2 linked regions of the Lonchura striata genome follow. The protein of the gene in region 1 purifies or fractionates together with the protein of each later gene. This does not show direct contact. Links are inferred from orthologs where the notes say so. Each region holds a gene or a part of one and is shown on either strand. Other genes may lie near its edges.

Evidence for each region.
Region 2: the proteins of PRKAR2B (region 1) and PDE4DIP purify together in Homo sapiens (affinity purification with mass spectrometry; 4 studies listed by BioGRID and IntAct, counting the BioPlex papers as one, with this or other methods). This does not show direct contact. The link is inferred for Lonchura striata from reciprocal best matches to the Homo sapiens genes PRKAR2B and PDE4DIP.

What each region holds. Positions count from the first base shown.
Region 1 is NC_134607.1:59,472,917-59,483,532, reverse strand, and holds the start of PRKAR2B (cAMP-dependent protein kinase type II-beta regulatory subunit), read left to right. Parts: upstream 1-5,404; 5' UTR 5,405-5,455; coding exon 5,456-5,783; intron 5,784-10,616. UniProt on the Homo sapiens protein: Regulatory subunit of the cAMP-dependent protein kinases involved in cAMP signaling in cells. Type II regulatory chains mediate membrane association by binding to anchoring proteins, including the MAP2 kinase.
Region 2 is NC_134611.1:107,321-118,081, forward strand, and holds the start of PDE4DIP (myomegalin), read left to right. Parts: upstream 1-6,064; 5' UTR 6,065-6,282; coding exon 6,283-7,431; intron 7,432-10,674; coding exon 10,675-10,761. UniProt on the Homo sapiens protein: Functions as an anchor sequestering components of the cAMP-dependent pathway to Golgi and/or centrosomes.

The sequences.
Region 1 (10,616 bases):
GGAACTTCTCCATCTGATGATTATTTTCTGTCATTAGCTACTTGGAGAGATGTCTCTGTTACCCATTTAACAGGTTGTCTTGACAGTGCATAGTGCCATTTTTATAAAAAGTGTAGGGCATCAAACGAAATAAGATCCTCAAAATAGATGAAGTCTACTACATCTACACTTCCATTTTATTTCATTACTCTTAAAATGGGAAGGTTTACTTTTAATGACAAATTCAGTACTCACTATATCGACTTTAGAAACTCTAGGCACATTTTTCTGAAATTACAGGTGATTATGAGAGCCCAAACTGAGGCACATCAAAAGGAGCACTTTTCTAAGAGACAGTATCCTGTAGTTTCTGAATATCAAGGATGACAAACAACAGATTTCAATGGCAATCAACAGCTGTTCATTTACTGAATAGTAGCACTTGTAAACAGAACTTGTAACAAATCACAAAGCTCATATTCCCTGGAAAATAGTTTGGGTTTAAAAAGGACTTGGTGAGTGAAAAAGCAAGGGACTTGAGGTTAGAATATGTGATACTCTGCATTTCTTTTGAACATATTATCTCAGTAAATGAGGTGGATGGAACACTTGGATTCAGGACCAACATAAACCAACTAGAATTTGAATTGCTGATAATGTGATACTCCTCCTCCTGAGCCATGACTTCTGCTCTCTTCTCACGGAGAGCATGATGATTCATCTCAGCTCTAACAGTCATATAATTTCACTGACTACATAGCACTACAATGCCTAAAAGGTGATACAAGGGAGAGGAAATGAACACTTGTTCCTGGGTTAGCAGGTGCCATTTTGTGTGAGGAAACTCCTCAAACTGTGTATGTGGTTAATCTGATTGTGAATTGGTACTGAAAGTGGCAGGGACTCTTTCATTTACACTGCTTTGCTGCTATTCTGTTTCTTCAGGTGGATTCCTTCCACCCAACTTTCAAACTTGGCCCTTCTGTTTGCTCAGGGAAAACCTTCATTGACGTAAATAGCAATTTTACTTAAGTATGTAAGTGGGTATTGGTTCTTGCCATTCTAGGTTTACAGTAGGCAGTGGAGGAGTTAAGGGGTTTGAATCCACAGAACATAAGCACAGACAGAGTAAAGGGTATGAGATGAAGGAGATTCAATTGAAGGAAGAATCATGGGGAATATGTTAGAACTTGATTCATGCATCACAGGCACTAGTTTCTTATATTGTTTAAAGAACTGAACATTTTTCTGAAAAATGGATTTGGGCTTGGTAATGGATTTTGTAATACAATAATGGTGACATTCGAATGAGAATAGAAAAGTGTGAAACTATGGATCTACACAACTGCAAGTTTTGTTATTGCTGGAAAATTCATTGCTAAGTGATTGCTATTAAAAACAGTTTCAAAATTCTGCGAGCAAGATTTGCCTATTAAGCCAGAAGGACCTGAGTAGGAAAAAAAAAAGTCAATACATGTAATATTTTAAAGGTATTTTGGAAGATCAGAAATTGGTACATGATTATTCCTATGAACTGTGGTTGTTCTAAACTCACAAACCAGCTATCACTCAGTCAAGAGCCAGGAATAAAAAACATTACTGTATAGCTGATGAGATTTTGAAGCAAATATAAAACATGTTGGGATTTGAAGATGCCTTCTGACCAGCAGCTTTTTTGGCATGCAGTATGCAAAGTGTATATTTACTTAAAATTTCAAAAGCCTGGACAAAAGATTTGAGATATCACAAATCAATGATCTTTTAAACACGGGAAATTTAGGGAGTAACATCTCCCAAACACAAACATGAGTCTTTTCCTACTATCCTGCATTAGGCAGAGGGCCTGGCTTTGCCATGTGTTTCTCCAGTACAATATGAACTCTTTCCATGGAGAACCACTGTAGAAATGACTAGATTGCCAAATTGAGAGAGACTGTTACAGATGATGAGATCAGGATCTCTTCTTTCTGGGCTAGCTCTGCAGCAGGTCCAAGGACACAGTAAGAACAATCTCTCTTGCCTGACAGGATGTAACAAAGGGCAGATTTAAAAGCTGGTATTCCACTGGTGTGCTTTCTAAAGTTGCTTTCCTCAGGGGAGAAAGGGCTTTGCCCTGGCTTACACCCTGATGTTAAGTGTACACTTCTGCCCCTCTGAGCACCACCACAGCATCGCAGTTTAGCCGGGGTTCATCGGGAGATGGTTGTTGGAGAGCAGGTCTTGGGAAGCACTGGGGAAAAACATTCTTATCAGGCAAAACATTGAAAGCTGGCAGAAAAAAAAACAGGCTTGTAGTTGGATGCTGAATGGACTTTGTTAGGTCAAGTTTACTAAATTTACATCGACCTGGTAAAGACAAAGCCTGAAAGTCTGGCACTCATCTGTTCTGCACTGAGTTAATTGTCCTCCATGTGATCAGAAAATATCTCATCCTCTGAGCTCTGACAAAGTATTCCCAGCCACTGTCTGAAGCATGCTGTCTGGAATTGTCCTGTGGGAGACAACTGCTATTTCTCACCTGTTAGCTCTAATCACCTAGTTTCTCACTGCTGCAAGCCAGGTGAAGGGACAAGAACGACATGCAAAGCAGGTAAGCAGTATGTTATGAAAAGGGCATTTGTTGGCCAGGAGGAAAGGACATAACAAAGTCTTTATGTTATTTCCTTTGGAATTGTGAGGCGAATATTCTGCCTAATCCTTTTTCAGTACAGTAGGATTTCTGTAGGTTGTAAATTCTCTTTCTTTTCAAGAAGATATTTACAGCTGAATGAGATGGCACTCAAAAATTAGTAGTAGCTAATGAAACTCATTGGAGAGGTGTGAACCAATACTCTCACTATCTAACTGTTCACTCTGCTAGACATAACACATATTTTTGGCAGCTGTCTTCCTTACAAGGATTTAAAAGCAATTTAAATATCAATACAAGGTCTTTGGAACAGAAAGCATCTAAGGAAACTAGATGACACCAACTTGAACTACAAAGTTTCCTGCCATCCTTTGAGATACACAAACCTCAAGGTAAGTTTCACTAGACACAAATGTTTTGTGCTGTTTTGAAACCTTTTTTAGAAAGAAGCATTTTTTAGAGTTCTTCCACTTAGGAATCTCTTATTCAAATTATCTGAGTTTTACATAAAAGCATCAAAGGCTGGCTCTTGAGGATGTCTTCAGAGGAGTGATCTCATTTTAAGTCTGGGAGGATGAGAGTCTCTGACAAACTAGGGGAGTCCTTGATTAAATGGCGAAAGACACTATGCTACTGGTAAATTCCTAGAAAAAAAGACTGCCTTGTCTGGGTACAAGAAAACCTCAGGGATGATAACTCTTCTAACCTTGGAAGACTCCATTAAATGGAATATTATATGCTCACAGGACACCTAGTGCTTGGAAGGCACTAATTACTAACACTTCTCTTCCTGGGAGCTTCCTCAAAGCTTAGGTATGTCTCAGCTTGGTCACAAACAGATCAATCCTATCAGTGGTGTGAGAAGGTTTTTAAGCTCCCAAACTTGTGAACGAGGCAATCTGGTATTTCGAGGTAACCCACGCTCCAGACTAAGCTATGCACCTGTCCATGATGTACAGGTGCCAGCTCTCCTGCTGCACCTGATTCTCAACCATTTTAATGTGCTACATGCTGCAGCAGCAGGGCTTCCAGCAGGCAGGTGTGGTCAGGGCATGCCAGCACTGCAGCAGGGCATGGAGTGGGGGTGTGCTGGCAGCCCCCTGGACGCTGCAGCAGTTCTTGGAGCCTGATGATAGAGCAAGCTTCTGCAGTCCAGAGAGAACTCGTAGTCTGCCTCCAGACGACTTAGCTTGACTTTGAAGAGGTTCCTCAAGCAGGACGGTGCTAAACAACAGTGAATTTAACTTCAAAAAAGTACTTTATGCCTGCAGCATAAAGTGAAGCCACAAGATGTTGCCTGAAGGTATTCCACAGCTCAACTGGTAGAGATGTCTCCTGCCTGTTACAGGGCAGCAATATCACCCACGCAGGCATGGTTTACTCACTTCACTAATTTACCTGGTCTGTAACACTTTGAAGATCCAATCTGTGAACCAAGCTCCATTTGAAAATACATACACAATCAGAACTGGGTTCCATTTGGAAATTAATTGAACTTAAAACTGGCTTTGATATCCCTGCGTGAAAAGTGTCACAGAGATTGCTGTATTTTGCTGTCACCTTATTTTTTCGAGGTCAGGTCTTTCAGTATCTCGCTACTGCAAACTCACACTTGACTGCTTATCTTACCCTAAGCCCCTATGAAGCTCATTGCAAGGCCATTTGAAGAATGCTGAATGTTTAATGAAATCTATTCTCAAACAGCCATGTTGTCACAGCCTTTAGAGGGTTTAGCAGTTAATTTGCTTGATGCATAAAAATAAGACTCGAACAGATCTTTCTGGAACCCCAAAACGTTGGCCAATATTCAGAGGTGATAACAAAGGGGGGGGGGAAATGCAGCTATCAAGCATTCTATGGACTTCACTTTCAAGAAGCAGTTTAGTGAAGCATTGAAAAACATGGCACCCGTAATTGCTACTTACTCTACTTAAAACATTTAAGCTTCCTGGTGATGACAAGCAGCACCCACTTACCACTGTGCTAAGTATCTCTGCAGCATGGCTTGGAAGAGCGTCTATGCCGAGCGTTGGCATTCAGCAGTGTTTAAATTGGACTTCTTCCCCCATTTTTAAACAATTCTTTCTTTTTCCAGCTAAATTTTTCGTGGACCTGAAACAAACAGGATGTTCTTGCTTGCACCACATCACCCCTCCCAAACTAAATGATACAGATGAATGTAAATCGACAGCACTTGTATGCGTATGAATGATGTGGAGAAGAGCTTTAAGGTGGTGCATGGCCGTGAAAAAGCACAGCAGTGCACTGCGGTCCTTCCCTGAGCGGGGACACGTCCGCTCAGCGGGAATCCCCGCTGGTCGCGGGGCGGATGCCCGGACACCCCCGCAGGGAGACGGCGCTCACGGTTTGGGTCCCCGGCAGCCCGTGGGTGGCGGGGGCCGCGGTGCGCGGCGTGGCCGTGGCCCGGCAGGGCAGCCCGTGCGGGGGCAGGGATGCGGTGCCCTGCCCTGCCCTGCGCTGCCCGCCGCCCCGCCGGCTCCCGCGGCGGGCGGGCGGGGCGCGGCGGCCGCAGTCCCGGCGGGAGGTTGTCATGGTTTCCCGGGTCACATGCGCGCGGGTTCCCCGGCGCGGGGGGAGGCGCCGCCGCCGAGGCAGCCGGAGCCGCTGCCCCCCGCGGGCCCGCCCCCCGCCCGCTCCCACCTGCGCCGCCGCCCGCCCCTTCCCGCTGCCCACGGGCGAGCTGCCGGGCGCGCCTCGTCCCCCGGGCCGCCGACCCCCGGCCCTGGGCTCTCCCCCCCTCTCCTCCTCCTTCTCCTCCTTCTCCTCTCCCCTTCCCCTCACCCTCCCCCTTCCTGGCCGGGCTGCGCCCCCCCGGCCGGCCCCGGCATGAGCATCTCCATCCCGGCGGGGCTGACGGAGCTGCTGCAGGGCTTCACGGTAGAGGTGCTGCGGAGCCAGCCCGGGGACCTGCTGGAGTTTGCCCTCCAGTACTTCGGGCGCCTCAAGGAGGAGGCGGCGACGGCCAAGGCGGCGGCGGAGAAGGAGCCGAGCGGCCGCCGAGCGGGCACCGGCCATGACAGGGGCACTCAGCCGCCGCGCCGGGGCCCCCCCGACGCCCGCGGGGTCAACTTCGCCGAGGAGCCCATGCAGACCGACTCCGAGAGCGGCGAGGACGAACAGCCGCCGCCGCCGCCGCCGCCGCAGCAGTTCCCGGGTAAGGCTCCCCCACCTCGCCGGCCCGGGGGTGGGGGCGCGGGGGGCTCCGCGGCCGCCCGGGCTCGGTGCGCGGCCGCGGGGATGGGCTCGGGGCCGGGCCGCCCGCGGGTGCGGGGCCGCGGGGCCGCGGTGCGCGGGCACGGCAGCGGCGGCACCGCGGGCAGAGACCGCCCGCGCCGACAGCGAGCCCGCGGGAGGCTCCCCGTATCCCGCGGCAAACTTCAGCCTCCCGGGCTGTCCCCTGGGGCTCGGCGTGCGGGTATCACCGGCTGCGGCGCTGGAAGCGTATGAGCCTGGCATAGTCCAGCGAAGATCTATCCGTGTGTTTCCTTTTTATAGGAGCAGATCTGCATTCCGTGATTAGTGCAAGGGCATGTCTGCCTTAGAAAATACCTCCCGTGGGCATGTTGTTCACGCACTTGATTAAACGTTTTGCGTAGATGTACTTACATGTGTTTTAGAAAGTAGAGCACAATTTAAAACATAATTTCTTCCTGAAAGCCAGAGTTAAATTTTGTGCATTTAGAAGGGCCTGTGGAACAAGTGTTGCTGTGACAGCAAAGGACATTTGCAGTATCTTTGTGTTTGAAGGTAACACCGATCTACACGCAGCTAATGACACCTTATCTTTGTGTGGCTGACAGGTTTTATTTAGGGACTGTGCCAATCCATCTGCTGGTGTGGGTTATGGGACGGGTGGGAGCTGCCTCTGAAGGGTGCACAGTGCTTTGTCTTTGTGTCATGAGCAGGCTGACTGAAGGGACAGTCAGTAAGGTTAGATGGAGAAGAGGAAAGCGTCCGAGCATCTTTATTGTATTTTTTTGAGGATAGCTTGAGGCGTATCTTATCAGATCATCAAAGCAGTCATCCCTCCGAGTCGTGCTGGAGGTAGACTTACTTAGCAGAGTATGGAAGGCAGCTGTTTGCTAGTTGAATTTCAGTGCAGGTTTTGAAATGATGTCTTATGTGCCTTTCATCAGGAAATGTAGATAAACAAGTAGGTGTTTAAGAAATGGGTGAGTTTTCAAAATGCTTTGTGTTACCCCATAAGACAGTCGCCATTCTTCTCATCTGTTCTTTCCAGCTATACCCACATGTATTTAATGAGAAATTGAATCTGTCAATCAAGTTCTGCAATTTTAAACTGTAATGCTGATTCTGTGAGATTGGTAGAAATTTGAAAATTTGCTGTCTTTGAAAACTGAAATAATCATAATGTGGAAGAAAAAAATTATCGCATTTCACTAATACTAGATGTGGCCTTTCAAACATTAATTATTCTAACACCAAATCTCATTGCTAAATGGAAAACTGGAATGTTGTATGGAGGGAAGTACATAAAAGTAGTTTTATTTATTAATATGTATGTGTTACGTACCTGTAACTTTACAGGATGCTCTAAGAAGCTTTCTAAGCTTTTCAAATGAATACCAGTAATTAAGATTCTTTTGACAGTCTTTTTGTTGTGATTGTGAAGAGAAAAAGCTATTATTGCCAATATTCTCATTAAGGGACATGCTAGAATCTCTTAGTTTGACAAATTGATTTACTTGTTTGACAAAAACCCTTTAAAATGCCACATTTTTAAGCCTAATATATTTTGAGCATTTAATTGTATTATGGTTTGTAAATTCTGTCTGTTCAAATAATTGTTAATTAAAAGAAACAAAAAATGAAAATATTTGTGAAGCCATGTGAAGATTAATAAGAAGTAACTCATGGTAAATGATTATTAATAGTGTGCTTGTGTATATGTACATTGTGCAGGAGTGTGTATTTAAAATTCAAATTTTATGTCTGCCCTGAATATATTCTTCTAAGGTAACATAACAATGAATCCATTCAGCCTTTTGTTAATAACTGGAGGCATAAAGGCTTGTACTCAAATATTTGTTTAATGGGTTTAGATACCAATTTCAAAGCATGTTTCTTCTATGCTTTTGCTTTCTGTTTCTAGAAGTAGCAATTTTTAAGAACTGACGCTTGGGAGAAAGTTTTAAATTTTTTTTGCCTTTATGATTTATTAGACGACTTCCATATAGCAAATTTGCCCTGTTTGCATCCTTAGGAGAGGGCAATAAATTTAAAAAGTGGATAAGCAAATGCAAAATGAAAACCTCTGTTAAGGAGGTCAGGCCTGGTGGTGGTGGTATCTTTCCTTTGCTAAAGCCGTACATTTGAAATCTCAAACTGACAGTGTTCCTTAATTAATTCAATCAGAACATTGTTGAGCTCTCACTGTAAATGCTCCAAACTTTTATTTTCCTACCAAATGTTTTTAAGTACCTACAAGCTCTGCAGTTGAACTCTTTGTCAATATTAGTTTTGTCCTTGAAATGTATTTTGGAAGTGTATCCTGTTTCAGAAATGATGAGCTGAGGCATAAGCTGTGTTAAAAAGAAAAAACCCCTGTACTCAGGATTAAGAGTTATATGTGAACCTTGAATTAAAATCTGTTCAGGTCTTTATTGTGTCCATTACCTCGGCTGCAGAAATCACATAAAGGTAAAAGCAGTTACCTTGTCTGGAGGGAGAACTTTGTTGTATTGGTGTCATAGTTTTGAATTGACACCTGGAGTTAAGGTGACCTCAGAAATGACATTCTTTATGTTCAGAGCATTTAGATTATCCTCTTTGGAACACATGGTTTAATTTGGGAATGTTTTTCAGGTTTTCTAGTTGGTTTGTTTGGTTGGTTTTTTAAAAAAATATTTAATTGTCCTACATGGGTATATTGGCATTAATCAGTTACAACAACTAATTCCTACTCAAATAAATAGCAGACACTAAATTGAACAGGAAATATACATAAAAATGAGCCCTGTTTTAGAAAATATGTCTAACTTTTAGCAAGTCTGAATTGCATATTAAGATTTATTATATTGTGTTAGCAACATTTGAAAATGCTCATTAAATTATTTATTCTTTTTACAGTGACTATACTTTTCTTCTGACTTTACCACTTACATATTGATTTGCAACTTATTTTGATGGGCAATAGCCTATGTAATTTGTAACAGCTGTTTTAAAATGGTTGCCGTAGATAAAAATTTCATCTAGCCTTAATATGAATTAGTTGAAGAGTTTTTTGAGGTAACATTGCTGTTCCTTAAAGTCAAAAATTACAGTGCTGCATATATCATTTGGCACACCGTAGCCTCTGTTTACTTGATTTTTCTTTTGTTTTGTTTTACTTCAGTTTGTTTTGGTATCTTTTTCAGATAGTGGTGTATTTTAACAGGAAAATACTACAGCTGTCCCTCTCCTCCCCCGTGTACTTCTGTTGGTGTGTTGGTTGCTTTGGGTTCCTTCTTTGGAAACTTGAGCTAGAAAATGCAAGTCTGTATCTCAGCTTAACCCACTGATTGTGCCTAAATAATATGAGATCACTGTTTAGGTAAAACATGCATATTCTACCTTACAATACTAATTTTAAAGGCATGTCTTTATTTTAGTTCATTTATTCAGTCTGAAGTGCTTACAGATGTACTATTCATAGAAATTTTGAAATAATAGGTAAATTGTAGAAACCAGAAAAAACTTTGCACGCAACTACATTTGTGCCATGTGTACGTAATGGGCAGATCAGAGCAGTGGAAGGGCTCAGGAAGGACAAGGTAGCAATATAAAAATACATACAAGTTATAGTGGGATACCCTTAAATCAGGGGTTGTATAGAAAAGCATGTGATTTTCTTATAAATATATATATTCAAACTGAAATCTGTGGTATGATGGATAATGGCTGAAATCACTACCATCTGATATGTACTTAGCCAACATGAGAAATGAAGTTTTAGTAATTTCTACGGTCACTCTTTTGAAATACAGAAAGCAAGCAAGCATTATTTGTATGATTATAAGGACAACCCCAACTGGACCCAGGCTGGGGTGGATGCAATTTAGAAGAGAAGTTTCCAGCCACAGACCAGTCCCTTGGGAGCATGGCATTGTTGGAGCATTCCTTGGCAAGGCTTTGGGCCATATCTCCTTGCAATTTTCTAGACTATGCCTGCTGTCACTCAGAGAATAACGTGTAAATTAAGTGTTCAGGGTGGGTGTTTGAGAAGAAGATGGATTCTGTGAGGGAAAAGAATTCCAGATGCAAAAATTTGGTGCCTTGCTGGTCCAGTGGGCCTTGGTCAGGGGTTGGCTACTGGCTGCTATTCTCTGTTAGTGTACACAGTCACAAAAACATAAAGCTTTCTATCCTTGCTGTAAATCTTAAAAAAAAATTCAGATTTTCAAAATTACAGTTTTCAGTAATTTTGACAGGAGCAAATGAAAATATTTTCTTTCTGCGAACAGTTATTTTAGAGAGTAAACCCAAGCAAATTGGCAGTTGTTTGTGGTTTGTTTGGGTTTTTTTTAATTCCTTAATCTGACACAGGTGTTTTATTCAAGTTGAGAGATTTGTCATCAACAAACTTAGTTTGACAAAATTATAAGCAACTGGAAATGTGAAGTTGTAATATATACCATTTATATACCACTTTTTTGGTAGGATTTTGACTCCCTTTCAGACATGTATCTACTTGTGATTATAGATGAAAGAATGCTTTTGACACAGCCACTTAAAAAACATAGGTATGTTTATATTAATAATTTAGTTGAAATGATAGCAGCCTCCACTCAAAAGTATTTATGCATCCCTGCTCAAAATTAAGCATGCATGAGTGGAAGTGCCTCTGCTGGCTAATATTTTGTTGAAGTTTGGTAAAGTGTATTAAAGAGAAGCAGGAGAAAATTCCAAAGACCTGTGGACAGAAAGGTAGTACAACTATACCAAAAACATTTGAATTTGTCTTCAGCTTCTTTTTCGCTAAAGAATC
Region 2 (10,761 bases), on another chromosome or scaffold:
CTCCTCAGGCTTCAGGCTTCTGGATATTGAAATTTGGGTGCCTCTGGCTTTCACATTTCTGGGTAAGATGCCCTAAAGGTGCAGTGCCTGCAGGTACAACACCTCTGGGTATCACACTGGTTATGGTGTCTGGCAGGGCACACAGCCATGCCTGACCAGTGCTGGTGTGTTTAAAGTCATCGTGCCTCAGTGTCCCTCCATGACAGGTTGTTGCTGCAAGGTCTGTGGCACCCTGTGCCTGCCTCTCCTGCTCCCTGCCAGGCTGGCAGTGCTGTGCCTTGCTTCAAGGTGCTGGTGTGGTGTGCAAGGCTGTGGGGACATGGTCCCAGAGCCCCTGCCATGACTGTGCCACAGGAACATGCTGTCCCTCCTTGGCTGTTAGGGCTCAGGCTCATGCATGTGGGCAGGGCACTGTGCCCACACTGATGCCGGGACAAGTGCCCACCTCCCTGGGACCCCACCAAAAACCTGTCAGGCTGAAATTAGAAAATAAATATTCTTATTTCTTTAAAAGGAGAAAAAACCCCAACAATACAGGGTTGGGTTTTTTATTTGTCATGTTTCTCTTTCTTTCTTTTAAATCATGAAATGACTCACACTTCTGAGCTGAAAATAAACCTGACTATCAGCTGGTGAGCCATGACAGCATGGAGGCACAGGGTGCCTCCAAGAGCAGCAAGGGCCAGCCGTGCCCCCAGATCCTCCCTGGGGCTGTGGGGGCCTGCTCTGGGGGCTCAGGTGGCCCTGACAGGGCTGCTAATGGAGCTGAAGTGCTGCTGAGGGGACGCTGCCATCTGCACAGCCCCCAGGGCCTCGTGTCTGTGCACTCAGAGCCTCTGCCCAGCGGCTGTGAGGACACACACGTGTGTCCCCACGTGTGCGCGGACACCAGTGGCAGCCCCGTCACCTCCCCGGTCCCTCCGGCACAGCGCGGGTGGCACGGGGGGCCCGGCCTGGACCCCCGGTGCTGTGCGTGACATGACCGTGTGCTGCTCCCCGCAGGGACCCCTGCAGCAGTGACACTGTGCCAGCCCTGCTCCCCGGAGCCAGACGCATGGCGGGTAAGGCACCCCAAGAGAGCTGGTACCCTGCATGCCCCGTTCCCCTGCTCTGCATCACCCTGGGATGGCCAAGGGCTTTCTGGGCCCCAGCGTCCCCTTGTCTCTCCTCTCCTCGGAGGCACGCGAGGTGTGGAGCGGCCACTTCGCTGGTCTGACTGCTGCTCGCCCTTGCTCCCTGCCAGCTTCCCAAGAAGGGCTATGGGGTGAAGGTGATGAGGATGCTGTGCCAGTCGAGCCGAGGGGATCCAGCGGCTCCCCGGGTGCCCAGCCCCAGCCTGGCCCCTTGGTGCAGACATGTCTCCTGCGGGATCTGGAGATGGGGCCCCTCGCCCACACACAGACCCTGCGGGACTTTGAGCAGGTGAGTCTGCGGGGACCCCGCATGGCACCGCCATGGCCCTCCTGGCACTGACGGGCGCTTGCAGGGCCCATGGCGGCTCCACAGGGTGTGGAGGGCAGCAGGGTGGCGGGTGTGGAGGGCAGCAGGGCAGTGGGGTGTGGAGGGCAGTAGGGTGGCGGGTGTGGAGGGCAGCAGGGTGGCGGGTGTGGAGGGGAGCAGGTGCGGAGGGCAGCAGGGTGGTGGGTGTGGAGGGGAGCAGGGCAGTGGGTGTGGAGGGGAGCAGGGCAGTGGGTGTGGAGGGCAGCAGGACAGTGGGTGTGGAGGGCAGCAGGGTGGCGGGTGTGGAGGGCAGCAGGGGTAGTGGGTGTGGAGGGCAGCAGGGCAGTGGAGTGTGGAGGGCAGCAGGGCAGTGGGTGTGGAGGGCAGCAGGGTGGTGGGTTTGGAGGGCAGCAGGGCAGTGGAGTGTGGAGGGCAGCAGGGCAGTGGGTGTGGAGGGCAGCAGGGTGGTGGGGTGTGGAGGGCAGCAGGACAGTGGGTGTGGAGGGCAGCAGGGCAGTGGGGTGCGGAGGGCAGCAGGGCAGTGGAGTGTGGAGGGCAGCAGGGTAGCGGGTGCGGAGGGCAGCAGGTGTGGAGGGCAGCAGGGCGGCGGGTGCGGAGGGCAGCAGGGCGGCGGGTGCGGAGGGCAGCAGGACAGTGGGTGTGGAGGGCAGCAGGGCAGTGGGTGTGGAGGGGAGCAGGGCAGTGGGTGTGGAGGGCAGCAGGACAGTGGGTGTGGAGGGCAGCAGGGCAGTGGAGTGTGGAGGGCAGCAGGGTGGTGGGGTGTGGAGGGGAGCAGGGCAGTGGGTGTGGAGGGCAGCAGGGTGGCGGGTGCGGAGGGCAGCAGGGTGGCGGGTGCGGAGGGCAGCAGGGCAGTGGAATGTGGAGGGCAGCAGGGTGGTGGGTTTGGAGGGCAGCAGGGTGGCAGGTGCGGAGGGCAGCAGGGTGGCGGGTGCGGAGGGCAGCAGGGTGGCGGGTGCGGAGGGCAGCAGGGTGGCGGGTGCGGAGGGCAGCAGGTGTGGAGGGCAGCAGGGTGGCGGGTGCGGAGGGCAGCAGGTGCGGAGGGCAGCAGGGCGGCGGGGCAGGTGCTGGGGGCAGAGGGGCCGGGCCCGCCCGGCGCCACGCTCCCCACACCGCCCTCACGGCTGCGGCGCGTGGGGGCCTGCGGGGCTCGGGTTTCACCAGCCCGCTGTCCCCGCTCCAGCGATTCCTCAAATAGCTCTGGGAGGCGGAAAAAAAAGAGGGAAGGGAGAGCAGCAGCGGGGCCAGCGACGGGAGCTGCGGGCGGGCAGGGAGCCTAGGCTGTGTCCCGGCGGCGCCATGTGAAGGGTGCCGGGATGCCCGCCTCATGGAGCGCCGGCCATGGCTCACGGGTACCGCACGCTCTCGCAGCACCTCAATGACCTCAAAAAGGAGAATTTCAGCCTCAAGCTCCGCATCTACTTTCTGGAGGAGCGCGTCCAGCAGAAGGGCGAGGACAGCCGGGACGATGTCTACCGACGGGTGAGTGCCTGTAGGGGACGGGGCGAGGGGGGTTCCTCTCTTTTCTGGGAAGGAATAGGGTGAGCGGAGTGTACATGGGGGGCATGCCAGGGAGGGCTTTGGGCACTGGGCTTGGAGGAGCTGCTGTATGGGAGTTTGCCCCTCGTTTCCTTTGACAGGAGAGGGTTGGGGACAGCGTCCCCAGCCCAGCTGGGGAGTGCTGTCACCCATCCTGCCTGGGATGGGTGACATTGCAAGTTTGGGGGCACACAGATGGCGTGGGTACACCCCATCCCGGCGCCAACGGGCTAAAATACCACCTGTGCCACTCACCGACAGGAGCACCCAAAGCCCTGCTATGGCATGGGGGTCCCCCACGCAACTTCTTCATTCCCGTGGGCAGTGGGGCTGGGGTGTCCAGGCAAGTGTGAGGGCATCCTACCCACCTCTTTCCTGCTCCATAGAACATTGAGCTGAAGGTGGAGGTGGAGAGCCTGAAGCGGGAGCTGCAGGAGAAGCAACAAGCCCTGGACAACACATGGTGAGTGCGGCTGGCCAAGCCCCTCACCCCAGGGCAGAAATGGTGCCCATGCCCCACCTGTGGTGGGTTTGTGGGCATGGACATGAGGGATGTCTGCCTGCACCCTGCCTGTAGCAGGCAGTAGAGGGGCCTGCAATGGGGCTGGAGGGGTTTGCAATGGGGCTGGGCACCCACAGGGCTCCTCTTACAGCCCAGGCGCCAGCCAGGAATAAAGGACAGCACCTGTTTGGTGGGGGAGGGCAGTGCTGTGCCCAGGGGCCATGGCATGGGTGTCTCACCGCGGGGCACCGATGGCAGGGGGCCAGTGGCACAGCAACTGGCGAGGCCTTGGTTTTGGGAGTGTGTGGATAGTGCTCTGGTGGGTCAGAGCCTAAACATGGCCGGGTGCTGCCAGAGGAGCAGTGTCCCCAGGGCAGAATGTGGGGGGAGCCAGGTTAAGGGCACCTGGAGTGGTACAGATCACCCAGCCCAGCTGGTTTGGGATGGAGGCTTTCACAAAGGCTGTGCTATGCCACACCATGTCATGCTGCACACTGCCAAGCTATGCCGTGCTGTGCCATGCTGTGCCATGGGAGATGCCATGCCGTAGCAGGCCGTGGCACACCGTGCTGTGCCATGCTGTGCCATGGGAGATGCCATGCATAGCAGGCCGTGGCACACCATGCTGTGCCCGGCAGGGTGGCTGCGGAGAACCAGACAAGCCGCAGCCAGGCCGCACTCCGGCAGCAGTATGAGGAGCGACAGCGGGAGTCGGAGCACGTCTACGAGCTCCTGGAGAACAAGATCCAGCTCCTGCAGGAGGTGAGCCTCAAGGGATGGTGGGCACGGGGGAGGAGCCAGGGGCTGCTGCCTGGGGTCTCACCCTGCTGCCGTGCAGGAGGCCAGGCTGGCACGGACTGAGGCCGAGCAGGCCACGGCACTGGCCCGAGCTGAGGCAGAGAGATGCCGGGAGCTGACAGGGAAGCTGAAGGAAGCGGCAAGGACAAAGCAGGAGGACAGCAGTGACAATGGCTGTGGCTCCATGGCGCAGAGGTGGGTGTCCCTGACATATCTCCTCTATGCTGCCAGCCTGTGTGCTGTGCCAGTTCCTGGGGACCACCAAGGGGCTCGTGATGTGCGTGATTGAGGGGCTGAGCATATCTGGTGGGATGCAGGGATCACCCCAGTGTGGGAGAGCTGGGCTGTGGGGAAGGGAGAGTAGTCCTGAGGTTGCTCTGCTCTGCCCCAGAGATTGATCTCTGTCCCCAGTGTCATCCCATGGCCATCCCAGTCCTGAGCATCGCATGCCCTTTGTCACTTTCAGGAGGATCGAAGAGCTGACCCAAGAGCTGGCCGCCAGCAACCAGCTCGTGGAAATGCTGTCAGCAGAGAAGCGTGACCTGCAGCAGTGCCTGGAGGCGTCTCCGGTCATGGAGGGGCAGGTAAGTGGGCAAGGCTGGGGGGACCCCAAGGAGGAGCACAGCCATCCAGGGCCTGACTGGTTGTTGTCACCCCTGTCCCCTTCTGGGGCTGTGGCCAGGGCTGTGCAGTGTTCAGCCTGGCAGGGTTGGGTGATTGCCAGGAGCCGGGAGGAGCTGCGAGGCTCAGAGGACATGGTGTGAGCTGTCAGGGGACAGGCCACCAGCCTGCGCAGTCTTTCTGAGGGTGTTGGTGCCGCTTGCTCCTGTCTGCCATTTAAATCCCAAGTCTTAAAATACTCCTGGCAGCCTGGCATGGTGCCAGGCAGGATTTCGGGGCTGTGAGAGATCAGAGCGGCATGTTCCTGGCAGCTGCACAGCTCTGGCCACGCTGGATGTTGGTGGCACGGCGCTGTCCCCAGCAGCCAGGGGCTGTCAGTGCGTGAGCTGCCTGTGCCATGCTCCTGCAGGGACCCTGCTGTTTGCCCAGCCGGTGGCATGGGCTGTTGCTGGTGACACTGTGCTGCAGGGACTTGCCCGCCCACACTGCCTGCTGGGGCTGGGCACGGGGGGCATGGGGGCCTGGTGTTGGGACAGGCACTGGGATGAGGATCCAGCACTGGAACAAGATCCGGCACTGGGACAGGTGCCACACTGGGACGGGGATGCGGCACAGGCACTATGGTGGTGCCTGGCACTGGGACAGGCACTGGCATTGGAACGGGGACGTGGCACAGGCACTGGGGTAGAGACGTGGCACTGGGACAGGCACTTGCGTTGGAGCCAAGCACGTGTGTGTGTGTGTGTCCTGGCACTGAGACTTGATCCCTGCGCTGTCGCGATCGATCACTGTCGTTGTCTGTGTCGCGACCCCCGGTGCCGCCCGTGTGCCCGGGCGTGGCGCGAGCCGCCACTGCGCATGCGTAAACGGGCGTGGTAACTACATATCCCGGCAGGCGTTGCGGGCCATGCGCGTGCGCGGGAGGCTGGGCTTGGCCGCCATCTTGAAATCTGAGCCAGAAGCCGGGCGCCGCCGTGGCAGGAGCATCCTCGGCTCGGGCGGTGGGGCCGGGCCGGGGCGGGACGGGCTGGGGCAGCCCGCAGTGAGGGGCAGCCCCGGGTTCGGGGGTTGAGGAGAGAGGGGCAGCATCGGGGGCTCGAGCTGTGAGGAGAGGGAGCAGCATCGGAGGGGCGGGGGGGCCAGCCTGGACAAGGGGGCAGCCCAGATGTGTCTGTGAAGATGTGAAGGAGGTGGCGCAGGGTGGGATCTTTCTGTTGCATCAAGAGTCCCGGCGTGTCACCACCCTAAAAAGAGGGGATTGGTGCGGTGAGACGTGCCGCCAGGCTCAGGGATTGAGGGAGATGTGCTGACCTCGGGAAGGTCTCCTGAGTAGGAGTAGGTTTGGGTGCCGGGAGGGAGGGAGGATGAAGGATAACTGCCGGATCTGCGGCCGGGAGCTGTGCGGCAACCAGCGGCGATGGATCTTTCACACGGCAGCCAAGCTGAATCTCCAGGTGCTGCTCTCCCACGTCCTGGGCAGGGAGCTGTGCCGGGACGGCAGGTCCGAGTTCGCCTGCAGCAAGTGTGCCTTCATGCTGGACCGCATCTACAGGTTCGACACCGTCATCGCCCGCATCGAGGCCCTCTCCATCGAGCGCCTGCAGAAGCTGCTGCTGGAGAAGGACCGTCTCAAGTTCTGCATCGCAAGCATGTACCGCAGGAACAACGACGACTCCAGCACAGAGGACAGGGCTGGGGAGGGAACGGTGGACCTTTCCAACCTGCCTGATGCACGGTACGCTGCCCTCCTCCAGGAGGACTTCGCTTACTCTGGATTTGAATATTGGATGGATCAGGAAGAGCATGGCCTGGAGCCGCACAGCTGCCACGGCTCTGAGGGGGCAGGGAGCCGCCCGCGGCGCTGCCGGGGCTGCGCTGCCCTGCGTGTGGCTGATGCAGACTATGAAGCCATCTGCAAAGTGCCCCGAAAGGTGGCCAGGAGCATCTCCTGTGGGCTATCCAGCCGCTGGTCAGCCAGCATGGGCAACGAGGAGTCGTCTGTGTGTGATGTGGCCGAGTCCACCAGCTCCAGGGTGGCTGTGGATGGGGACAGCATGGAGGAAGGCACACCTGCATCCTCTCTCGAATCTCTGGACACCACCGTGGAGGCCAGCCCTCCGCAGCAGAAGGATGAAGATGCAGATAAGGGGGTGAAAGGGAACGGGAAATGTGACGATTTGTCGGATGATCGCATGACCCCGAGCTCTTCACTGAGTGGGAACAGGCTGGAGCTGGCCCTCAATTTGATCAAGACTTTAGACTACAAACCCCTTCAGAGCCCCCGAGGCAGCCGACTACCTATTCCTGTGAAGTCCAGCTTGCCACCTCCCAAGCTCTGCCGCGACTTGGCAGATGGCAGTGCTTCTGCTGGTTTAGCATGTGCTAGTTCTGCCTTCCTCAATGCAGACAGAAAATCATTTTCCAGAGCTCCTTTGGGCCTTCCCCTGGAAATTTCTGAGCTGCAGGAGCTGTGGGATGACCTCTGTGAGGATTATATGCCGCTGCGGGTACAGGTAGAGGTCACAGTGCCGCCCTTCCATTGAGCATTGTCCTCGTGGTCCAGGGCTGAGCCCACTGGGGATTCTTCTGTGCTGAGATAATGCAGACAGCCACGTGTGGCTGATCGGGGGCTAAGAATAGGCAACTCGGTCCTTTTTAGGTGTGCTGCCTCTCTCCTCAGTCATTCTCTTGTCTCCTGTTTCCTCCCGGTGTGGTGTTCTGGGAAATGAACCTTCCCCCCCCTCCATCAACCCTCCCCGGCAATGCAGCCTGCTAGGTGTGTCTAAGCTCTTTGTCATTTTCCTACTGAGAAAACACCAGTTTCACTTCATCTTTAGGCTTAAAGTCGGTGTGGTTTTTATACACAACTAAAGGGAGTATTTTAAGCTTCTGGGCATGTGTTTTCCAGCAGATGTATTTTCTTTGTGCCTGAGTAATGTTTGGGAGTGTGGGGAATGCCTGCTTCTAGCCCTGCCTCTGCAGGTCGGGCCTCAGACCTGCCGAACGTGCAGAGCCACCCAGGAATCTGTGGCGTGTGCCCTGAGGAAAAGGTGTTTTCCTTGCAGGTGGATTTGTGCCAGAGGATGACTTTAGGGTTGGTATTCAAGATAATTGGTTTATTTTCTGATCCTTTGAAAAGATCTATCAATTAGTGGCAGGTGTTGCTGAGAGGGGATGAAAGCTCCTGCTTTTGGGATGCTGTTATCTCTCTTGATAGCAGTCCTAGCTCCAGGTTGCCTCTTCTTTGCTTGCTTTAATGAAATGTTCTTTAGTATGCAGTCAAAAAGCCGAACTCCTAATTTCTTTACCACTTCCAGTAATGAATAGAAGGCTTCAGTCAGGTTCAATTCTGGAATATCCGTGTCAGCCTAATTGCATTCCGGTTAGCAGCCTTAGCGCTGCCTAATGCTGTAGGTAGCCCGGGGGATTAGGAAAATGCTCGTTTATTACTATGGCAACTGTGCAGTGCTGAATTGCTCTTGCTCTTTAGCTGCCGGCTTGCTGTCCATCTGCTCAAGCGTTTCCCGGAGCTGTGTGCTTTTTTCCTAAAAGCCTGCTCTAGAAACGATGCTAGGGAAAAACGCAGGAAAACTAGTTTTCATCTTGGAGCACAAAGGCATGGTGCTGGCAGCCGGCAACTGAGGATGTAAACCAGGGCATCGTGTCGTTTGCTGATGGTTCTCACTGCTAGGCGTGTGTTTGCAGGATAAGAATGGGCTTTCTCTGAGCAGCGTGGCGTGTTTGCAGGTTGGCTTTGTGTCACACATGACCATCCTCTTCTAGGAACTGTATTTTGAGGAGTTTCTCCATCCTCTCCCATCCGACCGGCCCTGCCAGGAATTTATCCTGCAGGATATTTTACTGCTGGTTTCTTGCCGTGACAGCAGCAACTCTTCAGCGCAGGGTCTGGCTGAAGGGGGAAGGGCTTAATCCCTTCGGGTGGCTTTAAGAGCAAAAGTGGCAAGGCAGATGCAGCTAGTAGACTGAATAGTTCTTGCACAAATGATTTTTCTTTCGTTTTGTAAAAGCAACACCCTTCCTGTAAGTCAGGTGCTGCTGCTGTCCAGTGATTCCTGTGCATAAATGTGAAAGGAATATCTAGAACATACCGGACCGAAGTTCTCTTAAAGCTTTTGCAGTTCTTTAAATTTATGGAGCATTCTGGTGTCAGGACATGTGACCTTGTAGGTACTGCCTTCCTGGGGGTTTTCTTGAGCCAACAATTCCTCCCCTTCCCCACCACAGCCCCAGGGAGGTGGCACCAAACGGAGCCTTTGTGAGACACTCCCGCAGCTGCCTGCGGTGCCCTCCTGACAGCCGGGCTCTTTCTCACTGTGCTGGGCAGTCTGAGCTTGGCAGGCTCTGAGAGTGTCATGAGAATTGTTTTTAAAGAAGTGTTCTGTTTGGGTCAGTGTGTGATGGGGCTGCTGCTGCTGTGCTGAGGAGAGATTGGCAGTAAAATGCTGATGTTGGAGAAGTCGACATGGCTGCAGGGAGGCAGCTTGGGCTTTGGAACTTTGGACTCTGGAGCTGGCTCTGCATTCCCCTCCCTGCTCTCAGCTCTTTCCGGGTTTTCTGCCTTTTTTCTTTTCCTTTTTATTTTTTTTAATGTGAAAATTGAGGAAATATATTTTCCGTTTCCCCCCCCTCTGTTTTAATCAAAATAGCTTATTTCAAAATAGCTGCTGTGACAGAATCCAGCAGCTCTCCCTGTCTCATCCATAGCCTCCTGGCAGAGAAAATTTGTAATCACCATGGCTGGAAGTTTTCACTGAAATCCTAACAAAACATCAGTGTAAAGGGAGATGTTATTTCTGTCTGTGAGAGGCAGTGCTCTCACAACTGAGGGAGCTCCCCCGTGCTGCATGAATTCCCCACAGACAGCGTTTCTGTGGCCACTGAGGATGAGGATTCATTAGCCTGACAGGGCTAATTGGAACTGACTGTTCTGGCTGTGCTGCAGTGCCTGGAGCTGGTGCCTGTGTGTGTGTGTGCAGCAAAATTGTAAGGAGGGATGACAAGGGATTAGTGTTGTGCTCAGCCAGCCGGCTCTGGCAGGCCACGTGTCACAAAGTAGGCTGTTTACATTCCCAATAAATGGGTATGTGTCATGAAAAAAATCTCAGCTGTGGCACTGAATTTGCTCCTGTTTTGAGGAGCTGCAAGGAATTGTACACAGTGTGGGTGCTGGAACACGGGAAGTGGTGAAGGAGAGCCCAGAAAATCATAAGTGGAGGGGTTCAGAGCAGGATTACTGCTAGGTCATGGCAGGAGGGGCGCTGGTGGGAAGGATTTAAGGTTGTAAGCTTGACAAAGACACAGAAGCTCAGCAGAACATGGGAACCATTTCAGTGTGGGTTTGGAAGCTTTTTTAAAATGCCAGCAAGGCACATGGGAAGGAGAGCAGGTTTCAGGGATATGACTTGGGTGTAGGGAAAAGATCCATCATTATCCCACAGACAGTGGTTAGAGCTAAACAAGCTGCTGGGCTTGTGGTGAAGCAGTGGGGAGAGACACGGAGCCCAGTCAGAGCCTTGGGGCACCAGGGCACTTGTGGCAGATAAGGCAGAGAGCTGCCAGGTGCCAGCCTGGTGAAGGGAGACACGAGCAGAATGATGTCTCAGAGCCAGTTAGAAAAGCACACGGGGCATGTTTAAACCCGTGCTGCAGGGTCTGTGACTGCTGATAGCTGAAGAGAAGAAGCCAGTGCAATAGTTGAGCCATTCTCTCATATTTTACTGTTTTTCTCCTTTCAGAATTTGCAGGATGAACAGCAGCAGCCAGCTCCAGGTAGTGCTGCAGCAGGGGAGCACGTGTCCAATGTGCATGCAGGAGAGCTGCAG